4 linked regions of the Xenopus tropicalis genome follow. The protein of the gene in region 1 purifies or fractionates together with the protein of each later gene. This does not show direct contact. Links are inferred from orthologs where the notes say so. Each region holds a gene or a part of one and is shown on either strand. Other genes may lie near its edges. The genes, in order: scap, insig1, srebf2 and srebf1.

Region 1 (3,872 bases):
ATAATACAGACGGGGCTGGTTTGTCTAGAACCTTTGCAGCAATGCTGTTTTCCAAGGGCTTTCCAAGCTCCGCCTTATGAAATGTATTAATCAATATTGATAGGAAGTTATGGGTTGGGTTAAAAATATATCATAATATACCCAATATTTATATCAGCGAATCACCAAAAAGGGAGTGTGTGCCTTTAGGAAGCCTGTAAAATAATATTTAATAGGGGGTATGTTATAGAAGCAACTTTTCATTCTTCATTATTTGTTCTTTATCGTTTTTTTAATTATTTGCCTTCTTCGTCTGACTCAGCGGTTCTCAACCTGTGGGTCGGGACCCCTTTGGGGGTCGAACAACCCTTTCCCAGGAATAGCCCCTCTCCTATTCCTATATCAGTTTTTCATTCAAACCACACCCTGGTTGTTAAGGTAATTTGGAACCTAGCAACCAAATAGCTGCCGAAACTCCAAAGCTGGAGAACTGCCGAACAAATACTGAAATAATAAAAATAATGAAAAATTAAGACCAACTGCAAATTGTCTCAGGATATTACTCTATACACCATTCTAAAAGTTAACTCAAAGGTGGACAAACCCCTTTTAAGAGGAAGGCAAATGGCAGTAAGAGCCCGGCAGTTCCTACTTGTATAAGGTGACATCTGCTGGCATCTGATTTTTGGCGGCCTCTTCAGCCCCCTTTGCCTCTACGCGAACCCAGGCTTCTTCTGGCTTCCCTTCCCGCTGCAGATATGGGTGCGAGTGCTGAGCCTCCTGTGGGTGCCGTGCGTCGGACACCTCCTGTGGCGTCAGGTAGATGGTGACGGGAATCATGGGTAAGATGCTGATGTACCTAGGAGATTAATACATTTCTACATGAGCCTCATTACAGAATAAAGCAATTCCCTAACCTGCTACAGTGGCACAAAACATCACAGACCCAGTGCTTTATACATATGGAAGCCATTCTCTCTATACAGCCAATGCACCAATAAATATTACTGGCTAGTTGCATTTGTGCAAAAGTGGGGGTTGCCATATTGCTTAGCTCTTCTGAGCATTCCTTATATTCATGATTCGTGCTGTAATATGTGCAGGAAAAGAAGGAAAATATGTCTCAGCCAGACAATCAGTATGATAATACAGCTATGGGACCTGTTAGTCAGAATGCTTGGGGCCAGGGGTTGTCCAGATAAGGGGTCTTTCTGTAACTTGCATCAAAACAAACTAAAGGATTATTATATCTTAGATAGGGCCATGTACAAGGCTCTGTATTATTATTATAGAGAAAAAGGAAATCTTTTTGGAGACTGAAGGAGGCCATACACGGGCAGATTTGGGTTAAACCGATTCGGCAGCTTATCTGTTCATGTATGGGCACCACCGACGGGCCTCCTTGACTAACATATGGCCTGAAATTGGGCAGATCTTGATTGGGCAGGTTTGATTTTTCCGTCGGATCGGGGAACACATCGGCTCGTTGATACAGTCCCTGAACCGACAGCGCTAGCCCGATATCGCCACCTGTAGGTGGGCATATCGGGAGAAGATCCACTCGCTTGATGACCTCGCCAAACGAGCAGATCTTACAGTGTATGGCCACCTTTAGGTAGATGGCTTTCCCATAGTTCAGAGCTTTTTGGATAACAGGTTTCTGGATAATGGATCCCATAACTGTATGAAACCAAATAAAAGCCATGTTCTGTGCCCCTCCCGTAGAACTTGCAGCCCCGTGCTGTACGCTTTATGGCACAGTCGGATATGGTTACTGCCATCGGACCTGCAAGAAGGTACAGTTTGCTATATTTTTGTACAAGAAGTTGCCCCATACTTTTTGGCCAGAGTGATATTGTAGTAGCTGAAGAGGGTTGGCCAATGTCTGAATGACAGCTTCCTCCAGGTCTCCTCATCCTCGGGTCCCCAGGTAACCTGCGTATGGGCTTTGTCCTCTTTACCCGCCGCTCGCTCTCTGCCCTTGTCTTCAGGGAGACTTTCTTCCCAAACCCTGGAGCTGCCATCCAGCCTCCCTCTCAGGGAGTCGATCACCTCCTTGCGGTCTCTCTGTGACTGGTTTTCCAGCAGTTGGGAGGAGCCTGTGGGGAAGACGGCGGCGAGGGGGCTCTGTGGGTTGGATGCTGGCAGCACTGGTACCGGAACCGGAGGCATGACTGCGCCTCCCAGGGGGCTCTGCTCCGTCACCTGAACCGTTAAGTAATTGCGCAGCCCAGCGGGGTCCGTGTATACAAGGATCCCAATCCAGACCACCGTCCCAGCCTGTAGAGCAAACAGGAAAAGTTAAACTGGCTGTGACTGACCAGGGGCCACTGCCCAGTGGGATAACAGCACATCCTCCTGCCTGGGAGTCACTAACACTTCTGCATGTAGCTTAGAAAAAACCCAGGCTATTGCAGACCTTGGATTCAAACCAGTTACAGCTCTTTATCAGCGTGTCCTTCACAGGGGATGCTTGTGAATGAGCTGGGCACATAGGGAACACTGTGGCTCTGTCACTACAATCTGCACTTGGACCTTGAAGCCTTATCCAGCTTCCTAAGAACTTGCCCATGTATTTAGCCGACATGCAGTAACATGCCCAGCAGGCCCGGAATGGCAATCTGTGGGTTCTGTAAGATGCCCTAGACTCTCACTGTTTATTGGGCTGCTGGGGGGGCCGTTTGGGCCTCTGTGTATTTGGAATTCCGGGGCCTATTTTGACTCCCAGTCCGGCCATTGTTGCCCAGTTTGCCAGTGCCTGCATTATATTATGTTCTTACCATGATGATTCTCTGAGCGAGTCGAGTCCTGGCAAAGAAGTACACCAGGCGCAGTCTCTTGGGGAGGCGCAGATTTCGCAAGGAAGAAGGCTGGAGGGTGATGGTATGAGGGGTGGCCGGACGCAGGGCTGGCTGGCGTTCGTATCTTTTGGCGCCGGGTTTGGGGGGAGGCATGCAGGCCTCTGCTGGCATCCGTTTGTTCAGGTCGGCCAACTGCAAGCAAACAGACGTTATCAAATGCCAGAATGTAGCTATTCTGCTCCAGTCTGCACTGTCCTGTTTTGGTATTGACAGTTTGTTCCTAGTGAGCCCCAATAGAGGGTGTTACACAGGGTTAGGGCTAGGAATAGGGTTAAGGCTAGGGTTAGGGATAGGGCAAGGGTTAGGGCAAGGGTTAGGGCAAGGGTTAGGGCAAGGGTTAGGGCAAGGGTTAGGGCAAGGGTTAGGGCAAGGGTTAGGGCAAGGGTTAGGGCTAGGGTTAGGGCTAGGGTTAGGGCTAGGGTTAGGGTTAGGGCTAGGGTTAGGGCTAGGGCTAGGGTTAGGGCTAGGGTTAGGGCTAGGGTTAGAGATAGGGCTAGGGTTAGGGCTAGGGTTAGGGCTAGGGTTAGGGCTAGGCATAAGGTTAGGGCTAGGGATAGGGTTAGGGATAGGGTTAGGGCTAAGGGCTAGGGTTAGGGCTAAGGGCTAGGGATAGGGTTAGAGATAGGGTTAGGGCTAGGGTTAGAGATAGGGCTAGGGCTAGGGTTAGGGCTAAGGGCTAGGGATAGGGTTAGGGCTAGGGATAGGGTTAGGGATAAGGTTAGGGCTAGGGTTAGGGCTAGGGTTAGGGCTAGGGTTAGGGTTAGGGCTAGGGCTAGGGTTAGGGATAGGGCTAGGCATAAGGTTAGGGCTAGGGATAGGGTTAGGGATAAGGTTAGGGATAGGGTTAGGGCTAAGGGCTAGGGTTAGGGCTAGGGTTAGGGCTAGGGTTAGGGTTAGGGCTAGGGTTAGGGATAGGCATAGGGTTAGGGATAGGGATAGGGTTAGGGTTAGGGATAAGGTTAGGGCTAGGGTTAGGGTTAGGGATAGGCATAGGGTTAGGGATAAGGTTAGGGCTAGGGTTAGGGTTAGGGA
Region 2 (3,872 bases), about 9.7 Mb from region 1:
CAGGGGTAGGGGAGATAGCTCTCAGTACAAGTGAGGGAATACAGGGGTAGGGGAGATAGCTCTCAGTACAAGTGAGGGAATACAGGGGTAGGGGAGATAGCTCTCAGTACAAGTGAGTGAATACAGGGGTAGGGGGGATAGCTCTCAGTACAAGTGAGGGAATACAGGGGTAGGGGGGATAGCTCTCAGTACAAGAGAGGGAATACAGGGGTAGGGGGGATAGCTCTCAGTACAAGTGAGGGAATACAGGGGTAGGGGAGATAGCTCTCAGTACAAGTGAGGGAATACAGGGGTAGTGGAGATAGCTCTCAGTACAAGTGAGGGAATACAGGGGTAGGGGAGATAGCTCTCAGTACAAGTGAGTGAATACAGGGGTAGGGGGGATAGCTCTCAGTACAAGTGAGGGAATACAGGGGTAGGGGGGATAGCTCTCAGTACAAGAGAGGGAATACAGGGGTAGGGGGGATAGCTCTCAGTACAAGTGAGGGAATACAGGGGTAGGGGAGATAGCTCTCAGTACAAGTGAGAGAATACAGGGGTAGGGGAGATAGCTCTCAGTACAAGTGAGGGAATACAGGGGTAGGGGGGATAGCTCTCAGTACAAGTGAGGGAATACAGGGGTAGGGGAGATAGGTCTCAGTACAAGTGAGGGAATACAGGGGTAGGGGAGATAGCTCTCAGTACAAGTGAGGGAATACAGGGGTAGGGGAGATAGCTCTCAGTACAAGTGAGGGAATACAGGGGTAGGGGGATAGCTCTCAGTACAAGTGAGGGAATACAGGGGTAGGGGAGATAGCTCTCAGTACAAGTGAGGGAATACAGGGGTAGGGGAGATAGCTCTCAGTACAAGTGAGGGAATACAGGGGTAGGGGAGATAGCTCTCAGTACAAGTGAGGGAATACAGGGGTAGGGGAGATAGCTCTCAGTACAAGTGAGGGAATACAGGGGTAGGGGAGATAGCTCTCAGTACAAGTGAGGGAATACAGGGGTAGGGGGATAGCTCTCAGTACAAGTGAGGGAATACAGGGGTAGGGGAGATAGCTCTCAGTACAAGTGAGGGAATACAGGGGTAGGGGAGATAGCTCTCAGTACAAGTGAGGGAATACAGGGGTAGGGGGGATAGCTCTCAGTACAAGTGAGGGAATACAGGGGTAGGGGAGATAGCTCTTAGTACAAGTTGCCCCAGGGACTGGTCCGATTGCCAAGATCTATCTCCCCTACCCCTGTATTCCCTCACTTGTACTGAGAGCTATCTCCCCTACCCCTGTATTCCCTCACTTGTACTGAGAGCTATCCCCCCTACCCCTGTATTCTCTCACTTGTACTGAGAGCTATCTCCCCTACCCCTGTATTCCCTCACTTGTACTGAGAGCTATCCCCCCTACCCCTGTATTCCCTCTCTTGTACTGAGAGCTATCCCCCCTACCCCTGTATTCCCTCACTTGTACTGAGAGCTATCCCCCCTACCCCTGTATTCACTCACTTGTACTGAGAGCTATCTCCCCTACCCCTGTATTCCCTCACTTGTACTGAGAGCTATCTCCACTACCCCTGTATTCCCTCACTTGTACTGAGAGCTATCTCCCCTACCCCTGTATTCCCTCACTTGTACTGAGAGCTATCCCCCCTACCCCTGTATTCCCTCTCTTGTACTGAGAGCTATCCCCCCTACCCCTGTATTCCCTCACTTGTACTGAGAGCTATCCCCCCTACCCCTGTATTCACTCACTTGTACTGAGAGCTATCTCCCCTACCCCTGTATTCCCTCACTTGTACTGAGAGCTATCTCCCCTACCCCTGTATTCCCTCACTTGTACTGAGAGCTATCCCCCCTACCCCTGTATTCCCTCACTTGTACTAAGAGCTATCTCCCCTACCCCTGTATTCCCTCACTTGTACTGAGAGCTATCCCCCCTACCCCTGTATTCCCTCACTTGTACTGAGAGCTATCCCCCCTACCCCTGTATTCCCTCACTTGTACTGAGAGCTATCCCCCCTACCCCTGTATTCTCTCACTTGTACTAAGAGCTATCCCCCTACCCCTGTATTCCCTCACTTGTACTGAGAGCTATCCCCCTACCCTTGTATTCCCTCACTTGCTAAGAAGCCATCCAGACCCTTCTTAAAGCTATATAATGTATCAGCCAGCACGACTGATTCAGGGAGGGTCTTTTTTTTTTTTTTGCATTCTCAGCAACCATCCAATATACATTAATTGCTTTGAACTCTTGATACAATGTGGAAGCCAGCTGGTTAACAGATCTAGAGAACATCTGCTACAGTTACTGAAGTCCGAAAAGAAAGGGCCAAGGGGTAGTTCAGCTTTAAATTAACTTCTAGTATAATGTATTGATATTCTGAGAATTTGCAAAGTTGTTTTTTTTAAATGTTTTTTCTGGTTATTTTACTTTTTGCTCAGCGGCTATCCGGGTTTGAATTACCCTTCCAGGCAGTGGTTTGAATGAGAGATGGGAATATCAATAAAAAAGGGGCCGATTAGAAAGATAAGGAACAAAAAGCAGCAAAATTGTAGCCTCACAGAGCAATAACTTTTAGCTGCCAGGGTCAGCGACCCCCATTTGAAAGCTGGGAAGAGGCGGCAAAAAACTCAAATTATAAAAAAAAAAAATAATGGAAACTGAATGCAAAGTTGCTAAGAATAGGGCATTCTATAATATACTAACCCCCATATGTAATAAAAGGCACTAAGATTGCCCTGGTGCAATAAGCCACAGCAACCAATAAGATGTTTGCTTTTTAACAGGTGACCAGTAAATTCTACCTGCTGACTGGTTGCTATGGGTTACTGCTCCTGGGCAAATGCAGGGCCTTTTATTACATCACCCCCTAAGGGTTCCGAATCTGAATTGTGCTGGAAAAGGCTTCGATTTGTCCAAATTCTGATCCAAATCTGGAATTCTGGATATAAGAAGGGTGTTCAATAATGATGTGCAGGTCAACCAATAGTCAACCCGCACCTGAACCTAACCTGCCCCTTCTAAATCCGACCCAACCTGCTTTGTGACTGCAGCGCATGACCCTCCCCATCTCTGACATCATGGAGAGTGCGGGGCAGGTATGAACCTATAAATAGACGCTGCTAGAGCCTGAAGCAGGGCTCAGTTACATTGCTGGTACTGAGGGAGGTAGAAGACCTTGGCCCTAACCCGTCCTCGACCAGTTTCTGACGTGTGGAAGTCAGTCCCAAACCCATCCGACCCACGGGCTTAGGGCCGGCCCGCACATCCCTAGTGTTCACTTACCATTGCTAATTGCCTTCCTATGTTCCCGACAGTCACTCCTCCCGAGAAAAAGATACAAGGCAGCCATGATCTAATGTACAGGAAGTCTGGGGAGGTGTACCTAATGTAAGCAAAAATAAGGTCATTAATTCATGTACCGTATAAAAAAAAAAAAAAGAGCACATCCTGTGAAAATACGTATTGCAGAGCTATTCCAATATACAAGATTAGAACTCATCCACTTTCTATTCATTCCTATGGGATTTTTAAAAGCGTATTTATCAAAGGGTGAAAGTGATAGTTCACCTCTTCAGTTATTTAGTTTTTTTGTTTAACACTTGTCCAGGGTGGTAATGCTGCAGCTATCTGGTTGCAATGGGGCAAATTACCCTAGCAACCAGACAGTGGTTTGGACAAAAGTTGGAAAAATGAATAGAAAAAGGTCTGAATAGAAAGATAAGTGATGCAAAGCAACAATAACAATGATATCGTAGCCTCACAGAGCAATTGTATTTTTGCTGCAGGGGTCAGCGACCCCATTTTAAAGCTGGAAAGAGACAGAAGAGGAAGCAAAATAATTCAAAAACTATAAAAAACAATTAAGACCAACTGCAAAGTTGCTAGGAATAG
Region 3 (4,671 bases), on another chromosome or scaffold:
GGAAATAACACACATGCACAAAAACAATTTCTGTTCTTTGCCTGTATTTATTTCTATCCACTGCATATCTGCTTTCAGTGTTAATACATAGGGGCACATTTACCTATCCACGAACGTCCGAAAAGCGCCCGAACGTGTTTTTTTTGTAATGGTCGGTATTTCGCGATTTTTTCGTAAATTGACGCGACTTTTTCGTAGCCATTACGACTTGCTCGTAAATTGTCGCGACTTTTTCGTAGCCATTACTACTTGCTCGTAAATTGTAGCGACTTTTTCGTAGCCGTCGTGCCGAGTATGAAAGTTTCGGAATCATTCAAGCTTCAGTATCGTGACTTTCCTTGGGCCGGGTTGGAGCTGCAGAGTGCCGTTGAGCCCTATGGGAGACTTTCCTTGGGCCGGGTTGGAGCTGCAGAGTGCCATTGAGCACTATGGGAGACTTTCCTTGGGCCAGGTTGGAGCTGCAGAGTGCCATTGAGCCCTATGGGAGACATTCCTTGGGCTGGGTTGGAGCTGCAGAGTGCCATTGAGCCCTATGGGAGACTTTCCTTGGGACAGGTTGGAGCTGCAGAGTGCCATTGAGCCCTATGGGAGACTTTCCTTGGGCCAGGTTGGAGCTGCAGAGTGCCATTGAGCCCTATGGGTGACTTTCCTTGGGCCAGGTTGGAGCTGCAGAGTGCCATTGAGCCCTATGGGAGACTTTCCTTGGGCTGGGTTGGAGCTGCAGAGTGCCATTGAGCCCTATGGGTGACTTTCCTTGGGCCAGGTTGGAGCTGCAGAGTGCCATTGAGCCCTATGGGTGACTTTCCTTGGGCCAGGTTGGAGCTGCAGAGTGCCATTGAGCCCTATGGGAGACTTTCCTTGGGCTGGGTTGGAGCTGCAGAGTGCCATTGAGCCCTATGGGTGACTTTCCTTGGGCCAGGTTGGAGCTGCAGAGTGCCATTGAGTCCTATGGGAGGCTTCCAAAATCATGCAAAGTCGCAAAGGTTTGCCCGCCGTTTACGAGCGCTCAATACGAAAAAGTCACGACAATATACGAGCAAGTCGTAATGGCTATGAAAAAGTTGCGACAATTTACGAGCAAGTCGTAATGGCTACGAAAAAGTCGCAACAATTTACGAAAAATCGCAAAATGTTTGTTTCCAATCCGATTTTTTCCCATTCGGGATTCGGATTTGTGGATTAGTGAATCAGCCCCATAGACTTCAGCATCACCTGCCCTAAAAACCAACCAAACATCAAGGTAAGTGCAGTAAAATACTGAGACCCAAGCTTTGTTTAACTCTATATCTAAACAGCACTTGATTTATGTTTTCAGCAGAAAAATACATTGTTATTGGACCTGCAGTAAAATCTTTTTAGGACTCCATTAAATACTTTGGAAAGACAAGGTACCACACACATATACTGAAACTGGGTATCAGTCATGATGCTTATTCCTCAAACACCAGCAGCTGCTATCCCTGTTGCTTAAGCCTGAAATGAAGGCTATAAATCTAGGGGACGGTAAGGCATTCTATTATAAAGAATGCAAGATGATTGGCACTTTTGCTTAACTGATTTGTTGCCTTTATAACAAAATGTGACATTTTAGTCCAATTCATGTCCAGAAACTAAATTCATTATGAGCAAATGACAAACGTCATTAGGTTTCAGATGCAAATGATCTTCATCTCAGAGTAAAGCAGGAGGAAAAGGGGGTGGTTACGTAATACTTAGCAACCTACATAAACAGGTCAGCCTTCTTGGTTTGGGAAATTAATTAAAATAAAATACCCAAATCACACAGAATGCTAGAAAAGGACAGGTCACAGGAAAGCAGAACCTTTACCCACAAATACAATCTAATAGAAGAAAAGAGTGTATGGACATAGGATAAAAGCAGCTACTCAGTTATGGATGTAGCTTTTTTTTCCCTGAGGAAGAGCACAGTGAGTGCTCGAAACGTTGGATCTCTTTTCTTAAATAAATTTATTTTTTGTCAAGTCCTGGTGTGTGCAGCTTACTTTCTTGCTTTATATTTTTTGCTAGCACCCTGGGCATTTGAACTTCTATAGGGTGTGCTCCGTTTGTTCTTGCTATATTATATATATATATATGGTACAGATGCCCTAGCCATTAAAGCATCAATGCAGTAAATATACAGTAAATATACAGTCCTACATAGACTTGCATCTCCTTCCCCCCCAAACCTTTCCAGCCCAAGTGGCCCAGACCAGGCGCAATGCCTGTAACTAACCTTAATCCGGCAAGGTATATAACAAGGTATATAACAACACAGCCAACACAACCCTAACAAGTTAATGATGAATTATTTCCTTCTGGAATTTGTAATCATATTCTCAGAAAAGGCGTGATTACTCAATGGATTCCACACACTGCAATGAAATGGGGGCCCAACATAAGGACAAAAAGTACTGGATATCAGGAATGACACGGCTAGTCCCCTAAACCGCTAGAGCTGTGTAAAACTACAACTCCCAGCAACCCCTCTTTGACAGCAGCAGGCTAGCTACGCTGTTACTATTTCCCAAACTACAGAAATGTTTTCGAGCCGCACCCCCCTGCAGAAAGATCCGTTCAGTTCCACTCTTACCGTCAATATCCCCTAGGGTGAGCTCATCTCCGAGTTCCGTCAGCGTCTCCATATTTTCCATGTTTAGTTCCATATGATATCCCGGGCTGTGACAACCCTAGCGCTCCCGAAAGGAGCCGGTTCTTGGTTCCCTATTACTGAACCTCACGAACCTGTCACTGACAAAACTGACGCCATGTTTGGGCACCACCTCCCTCCACACTACATGACGTCAATCCTATGTCTTCCAAACCTCGTTTCAGTGCCATGGTTAGAAGCCCAGAATGGATCCACAAAGAGGCGTGAAACGCACCCCGCCCCTCCCCCACCCTGACAGAACTGGGCCGCCTGACGCGGGAGTAAGCGGAATGCCCCGCCTCTTTGCCTTGTACAAACGCGTGCTGGATGTTTTGTTGTCAATGAGACCAGACGCCCCGGACGAATGAGCGAGCTTGACAAGCTGTGGTGTGATACGACGTCAGTGATCAGGGGATGTTGTATTTGCATAGGGGCCCGCCTTGTGTGGTTTATTTAGGAGCACGCCTACGGGGGACATTCAGTGAGGTGTTGCCACTGCTCTGCTGCTGCTGGGAAGCCCATGAAATAAAAAGGGACGGTGTTAGCAAGAGAAACGCCGCTGTAGTGTTACTTATTCAGTTCTTTGGGTTTTAAGAAGAAAATAAAGGAGTAATTTAGTTTCGTTGTGAAAGGTGCAACTAGCTAATAAGGAAATGTTATTAGACAAGCTGTTAAGGAAGTGAAATAATATTGTACTATATGTTATAATAGAATGAAAAACCTGTGCTGTATTGGTGCAGTTATGTGAGTGCTCATTCTGGACTGTGTCTTGGGCAAGTGACATGAGATTAGTTGCCCTGCAATTGATCTCAACTAAAGGTCCCCATACACTATAAGATCATCGCCAAGCGAGCGGATCTTTACCCAATATCCCCACCTACGGGAGGGCGATATCGGGTAGCAAGTTGCTTTAAAAAAAAAAAAAAAAAAAGCCAAACGATCGGATTACAGTTGCGGCCATGGGGCAGTCGGTTCGGGGACCGCATCAACGAGCCAATGCGGTCCCCGATCCGACTGGATTTTCTAACCTGGCCGATCGATATCTGGCCAATTTCAGGCAAGATATAGGTCGGCCAGGCCGCTCGTTTCTGCCCATACACGGGCCGATTAGCTGCCGAATCGGTCCAAGGGACAGATATCGGCAGCTTCTATCGGCCCGTGTATGGGGGCCTTAACTGTGGCAACTAATCTCCTTGAATGCTTTCCTGCCAGTGAGAATGTAGTAGTAAGAAGTAGTAGTCGCCCAATGTTGCCTCATGAGGTAAAAAAACATTGGGCCCCACAGAATGGAACTGCTTATAAGTGAGTGCAAGTACTCAGGAACAGAACTAAAGTTCAACACGGATATTTGTATATTTTGTTGCAGAAATACTTACGTATTTTAGTGCCAAAATCTGCTCCATGTGTCTGCCACTGAGCTGACTTAGTTTAAATTTTATCCTGGATGGTAGGGGAAGCCAGTGCAGGGATTGGCAGAGTGGCACGGCAGAGCAGGAGGGGTTGGAGAGGTGTATGAGCCTGGCAGCAGTATTCATTATGGACTGGAGAGGGGACAGTCTCTGAAGGGGAAGGCCAATAAGCAGAGAGTTACACTAGTCCAGGCGAGATATGATAAGAGAGTGAATAAGAATTTTGGCAGCATCTTGGGTGCTAAATGATCGTATTTTGGAAATATTTCTTTGGTGAAAGTGCCATGATTTGATAAGTGACTGGATATGAGGAGTGAAGGACAGGGCAGAATCAAGGATAACCCCAAGGCACCGGGCCTGGGAAGATGGGGTGATGGTAGAATTGTTAACCGTTATAGATACCTCGGGAACAATGTGATTGTTGGATGGGGGAAAGAGAACCAATTCAGTCTTAAAGAAGGTTTAATTTAAAATAACGTTGGGACATCCAAGTAGGGATAGTGGACAGGCAGGAAGAGACACGAGTTAGGAGCTCTGCGTTGAGATTAGGAGAGGAAAGATAGATTGGAGTATCATCATCTTAGAAGTGGTACTGAAAGCCAAAAGAACTGA
Region 4 (4,489 bases), on another chromosome or scaffold:
GTGACTGCTAATATCCTTATCATTTACAAATGATACACATTACTCCCAATATAATAATTAACAAGTATTTATGGGAAACACACTTGTCATCAATGTATTAAAACATACAGTTTATATAAAAACAGAGACCAACAGAAACCCTGCTTTTGTACATATATTTTATATCAGCTTTATATACAATAACTAAAAAATCCTGTGTGCACGGCTACTCTGAAATCTATGCAGCCCGCACTCATGCATGTTATATAAACGTCCTTTGCTAAAGATGGCGGCAGCCAACATGTTGATGTGCTTGTGTGGTATGGATTCCATCTAATTACATAAGAATACTCTATATGTTATGACCCCCAAATCATTAAGCAGATGGCACACATAAATGAGGGTGATGTTGAACCTTCGGACCCTTATTAAAGTAAATTTCTGGGTGTTGCTACCACTCCGAATACTGCGCCCTGTGCATAGCCTGCCACCCAGGCCACCATACCTATAATGCACACTAGCTACAGGTATCGGACCCCTTATCAGGAAACCCATTATACAGAAAATTGCAGAAAGGCCGTCTCCCATAGACTCCATTTTAATCAAATAATTCACATTTTTAAAAATGGTTTCCTTTTTCTCTCTAATAAGAAAACAGTACCTTGTACTTGATCCCAACTAAGATTTAATTACCCTTATTGGGGGCAGAACAGCCCTATTGGGTTTATTTCATGGTTAAATGATTCCCTTTTCTCTGTAATAATAAAACAGTACCTGTACTTGATCCCAACTAAGATATAATTACCCCTTATTGGGGCAGAACAGTCCTATTGGGTTTATTTCATGGTTAAATGATTCCCTTTTCTCTGTAATAATAAAACAGTACCTGTACTTGATCCCAACTAAGATATAATTACCCCTTATTGGGGCAGAACAGCCCTATTGGGTTTATTTAATGGTTAAATGATTCCCTTTTCTCTGTAATAATAAAACAGTACCTGTACTTGATCCCAACTAAGATATAATTACCCCTTATTGGGGCAGAACAGTCCTATTGGGTTTATTTCATGGTTAAATGATTCCCTTTTCTCTGTAATAATAAAACAGTACCTGTACTTGATCCCAACTAAGATATAATTACCCCTTATTGGGGCAGAACAGCCCTATTGGGTTTATTTAATGGTTAAATGATTCCCTTTTCTCTGTAATAATAAAACAGTACCTGTACTTGATCCCAACTAAGATATAATTACCCCTTATTGGGGCAGAACAGCCCTATTGGGTTTATTTAATGGTTAAATGATTCCCTTTTCTCTGTAATAATAAAACAGTACCTGTACTTGATCCCAACTAAGATATAATTACCCCTTATTGGGGGCAGAACAGCCCTATTGGGTTTATTTAATGGTTAAATGATTCCCTTTTCTCTGTAATAATAAAACAGTACCTGTACTTGATCCCAACTAAGATATAATTACCCCTTATTGGGGCAGAACAGCCCTATTGGGTTTATTTAATGGTTAAATGATTCCCTTTTCTCTGTAATAATAAAACAGTACCTGTACTTGATCCCAACTAAGATATAATTACCCCTTATTGGGGGCAGAACAGCCCTATTGGGTTTATTTAATGGTTAAATGATTCCCTTTTCTCTGTAATAATAAAACAGTACCTGTACTTGATCCCAACTAAGATATAATTACCCCTTATTGGGGCAGAACAGCCCTATTGGGTTTATTTAATGGTTAAATGATTCCCTTTTCTCTGTAATAATAAAACAGTACCTGTACTTGATCCCAACTAAGATATAATTACCCCTTATTGGGGACAGAACAGCCCTATTGGGTTTATTTCATGGTTAAATGATTCCCTTTTCTCTGTAATAATAAAACAGTACCTGTACTTGATCCCAACTAAGATATAACTAATCCTTATTGGAGGCAAAATAATCCTATTGGGTTTAATTACCGTTTAAATAATTTTATTAGCAGACTTAAGGTAGGCGATCCGAATTACGGAAAGTCCCCTGATCCAGAAAACCTCAGGTCCCAAGCATTCTGGATAACGGGTCCCATACCTGTACAGTAAAAAGTACAGTAGGGGCAGGGACTTCATTACTATTTGATTTTGTCTGTAGAGGTGCAGCGCTGAGGCATATGTTGGTGCTATTATTACGTCTGTATGTAATAATAATAATATAGACAGTGCTATAATAAGAGAGACACACGCACGCCCCCTGTCACTCCTGTATGTCCCAGCACAAACAAGCCAGGCAATGCCCGACAGTAACCCTGCGGTGATGTCAGGCAGGGGGCGGGGCAATGAGGCAAGTGCCCTAGTAACCCACAGGAGCTGAGAGGAAGTGCAGCACATGGGGCAGCTGGGCAAATAAGAGTTGCATCAGAATGTCAATAAGGCATAAGAGGGCAGCCATTTGCCCCCATTTAAGATGGGGTATTTATGGGAGAGGGGGCAGGTTCAATGCTCTGGAGAATTAGAAACCTATTCCCTACTTTCCTTAATTAACAACATTAAACCATTAGCTCTATGGGGGCCAATATCCCTTCCTCCCCCCAGTTTCTTCCCTATGACAGTGTCACATGCTTCTTTACCAACCCCCTCCCCACAAGCCAAAGAGAAGACTTAACCCAGTGCTGATGTTGTACTACAACCCCCATCACCCTTTGAGAGCTGTAGTTTCTGCTGCGTTTTCTCCCCCCACCCCCAAGTGTTACTCACCATCAATGTCATTCAGCAGCATGGAGTCAATGTCACTGGTCTCCTGGAGGGACAGAGAAGGGTCCAACTCCTCCAGAGAGCTGTCATCGTACCCCAGGCTGGCCATGCTGCTGCTGCTTCCCCTCTTCCTCCTTAGGCAGGGCTGCTGGCCATGGGCAAGTGGGGGGATCCAGGGAAGGTAGCAATGTTTCCCTTGGGAGTGGCTGCAGTATTACAGGGTCCCCATACCTGCATTAGATACCAGTAGGGAAGTTCAGTAGAACTGCAGCTCTAACCTGCTACCGACTGGGGAGGAGGAGGCGGGACCTGCCAGGGAGAGCCCGCCCCCAAATGCCCACCCCCTACAGCGTGGGACACGCCCTCATCCTTCCCCTGCATCCTGCTAGCGCTTTACTGCCTTTGTAAAGGAGCGAAAGGGTTAATTAACCTCTAAACTGTCAGGGCAAATGGCAAAGTCCTCAGCTTCAGCTACATATTTTGATGGCACTCACACACTTTTTATTTCCCGCCCCCCTCTGTTTCCCCTCTGTACCCCCCTCTGTTTCCCCTCTGTACCCCCTCTGTTTCCTCTCTGTACCCCCCTCTGTTTCCTCTCTGTACCCCCCTCTGTTTCCCCTCTGTACCCCCCTCTGTACCCCCCTCTGTTTCCCCTCTGTACCCCCTCTGTTTCCCCCTCTGTACCCCCCTCTGTTTCCCCCTCTGTACCCCCCTCTGTTTCCCCTCTGTACCCCCCTCTGTTTCCCCCTCTGTTTCCTCTCTGTACCCCCCTCTGTTTCCCCTCTGTACCCCCCTCTGTTTCCCCCTCTGTACCCCCTCTGTTTCCCCCTCTGTACCCCCCTCTGTTTCCCCCTCTGTACCCCCCTCTGTTTCCCCCTCTGTACCCCCTCTGTTTCCCCCTCTGTACTCCGCTCTGTTTCCCCCTCTGTTTCCTCTCTGTACCCCCCTCTGTTTCCCCTCTGTACCCCCTCTGTACCCCCCTCTGTTTCCCCTCTGTACCCCCCTCTGTTTCCTCTCTGTACCCCCCTCTGTTTCCCCTCTGTACCCCCCTCTGTTTCCCCCTCTGTACCCCCCTCTGTACCCCCTCTGTTTCCCCCTCTGTACCCCCTCTGTTTCCCCCTCTGTACTCCGCTCTGTTTCCCCCTCTGTACCCCCTCTGTTTCCCCCTCTGTACTCCGCTCTGTTTCCCCCTCTGTACCCCCTCTGTTTCCCCCTCTGTACCCCCCTCTGTTTCCCCCTCTGTACCCCCCTCTGTTTCCCCCTCTGTTTCCCCCTCTGTACTCCGCTCTGTTTCCCCCTCTGTACCCCCTCTGTTTCCCCCTCTGTACTCCGCTCTGTTTCCCCCTCTGTACCCCCTCTGTTTCCTCTCTGTACCCCCCTCTGTTTCCTCTCTGTACCCCCCTCTGTTTCCCCCTCTGTACCCCCCTCTGTTTCCCCCTCTGTTTCCTCTCTGTACCCCCCTCTGTACCCCCTCTGTTTCCCCCTCTGTACCCCCCTCTGTACCCCCTCTGTTTCCCCCTCTGTACCCCCTCTGTTTCCCCCTCTGTACCCCTCTGTTTCCCCCTCTGTACTCCGCTCTGTTTCCCCCTCTGTACCCCCCTCTGTTTCCCCCTCTGTACCCCCCTCTGTTTCCCCCGCTGTACCCCCCTCTGTTTCCCCCTCTGTACTCCGCTCTGTTTCCCCCTCTGTACCCCCCTCTGTTTCCCCTCTGTACCCCCCTCTGTTTCCCCTCTGTTTCCCCCTCTGTTTCCCCCTCTGTACCCCCCTCTGTTTC

The links.
Region 2: the proteins of scap (region 1) and insig1 purify together in Homo sapiens (affinity purification with western blotting; 11 studies listed by BioGRID and IntAct, with this or other methods). This does not show direct contact. The link is inferred for Xenopus tropicalis from reciprocal best matches to the Homo sapiens genes SCAP and INSIG1.
Region 3: the proteins of scap (region 1) and srebf2 purify together in Homo sapiens (affinity purification with western blotting; 3 studies listed by BioGRID and IntAct, with this or other methods). This does not show direct contact. The link is inferred for Xenopus tropicalis from reciprocal best matches to the Homo sapiens genes SCAP and SREBF2.
Region 4: the proteins of scap (region 1) and srebf1 purify together in Homo sapiens (affinity purification with western blotting; 4 studies listed by BioGRID and IntAct, with this or other methods). This does not show direct contact. The link is inferred for Xenopus tropicalis from reciprocal best matches to the Homo sapiens genes SCAP and SREBF1.

Annotation. Positions count from the first base shown.
Region 1 is NC_030682.2:6,968,140-6,972,011, reverse strand, and holds part of scap (sterol regulatory element-binding protein cleavage-activating protein), read right to left. Parts: intron 2,973-3,872; coding exon 2,760-2,972; intron 2,260-2,759; coding exon 1,817-2,259; intron 839-1,816; coding exon 632-838; intron 1-631. UniProt on the Homo sapiens protein: Escort protein required for cholesterol as well as lipid homeostasis.
Region 2 is NC_030682.2:16,642,367-16,646,238, reverse strand, and holds part of insig1 (insulin-induced gene 1 protein), read right to left. Parts: intron 3,364-3,872; coding exon 3,264-3,363; intron 1-3,263. UniProt on the Homo sapiens protein: Oxysterol-binding protein that mediates feedback control of cholesterol synthesis by controlling both endoplasmic reticulum to Golgi transport of SCAP and degradation of HMGCR.
Region 3 is NC_030680.2:120,123,847-120,128,517, reverse strand, and holds the start of srebf2 (sterol regulatory element-binding protein 2), read right to left. Parts: upstream 2,814-4,671; 5' UTR 2,667-2,813; coding exon 2,594-2,666; intron 1-2,593.
Region 4 is NC_030685.2:15,370,511-15,374,999, reverse strand, and holds the start of srebf1 (sterol regulatory element-binding protein 1), read right to left. Parts: upstream 3,035-4,489; 5' UTR 2,825-3,034; coding exon 2,719-2,824; intron 1-2,718.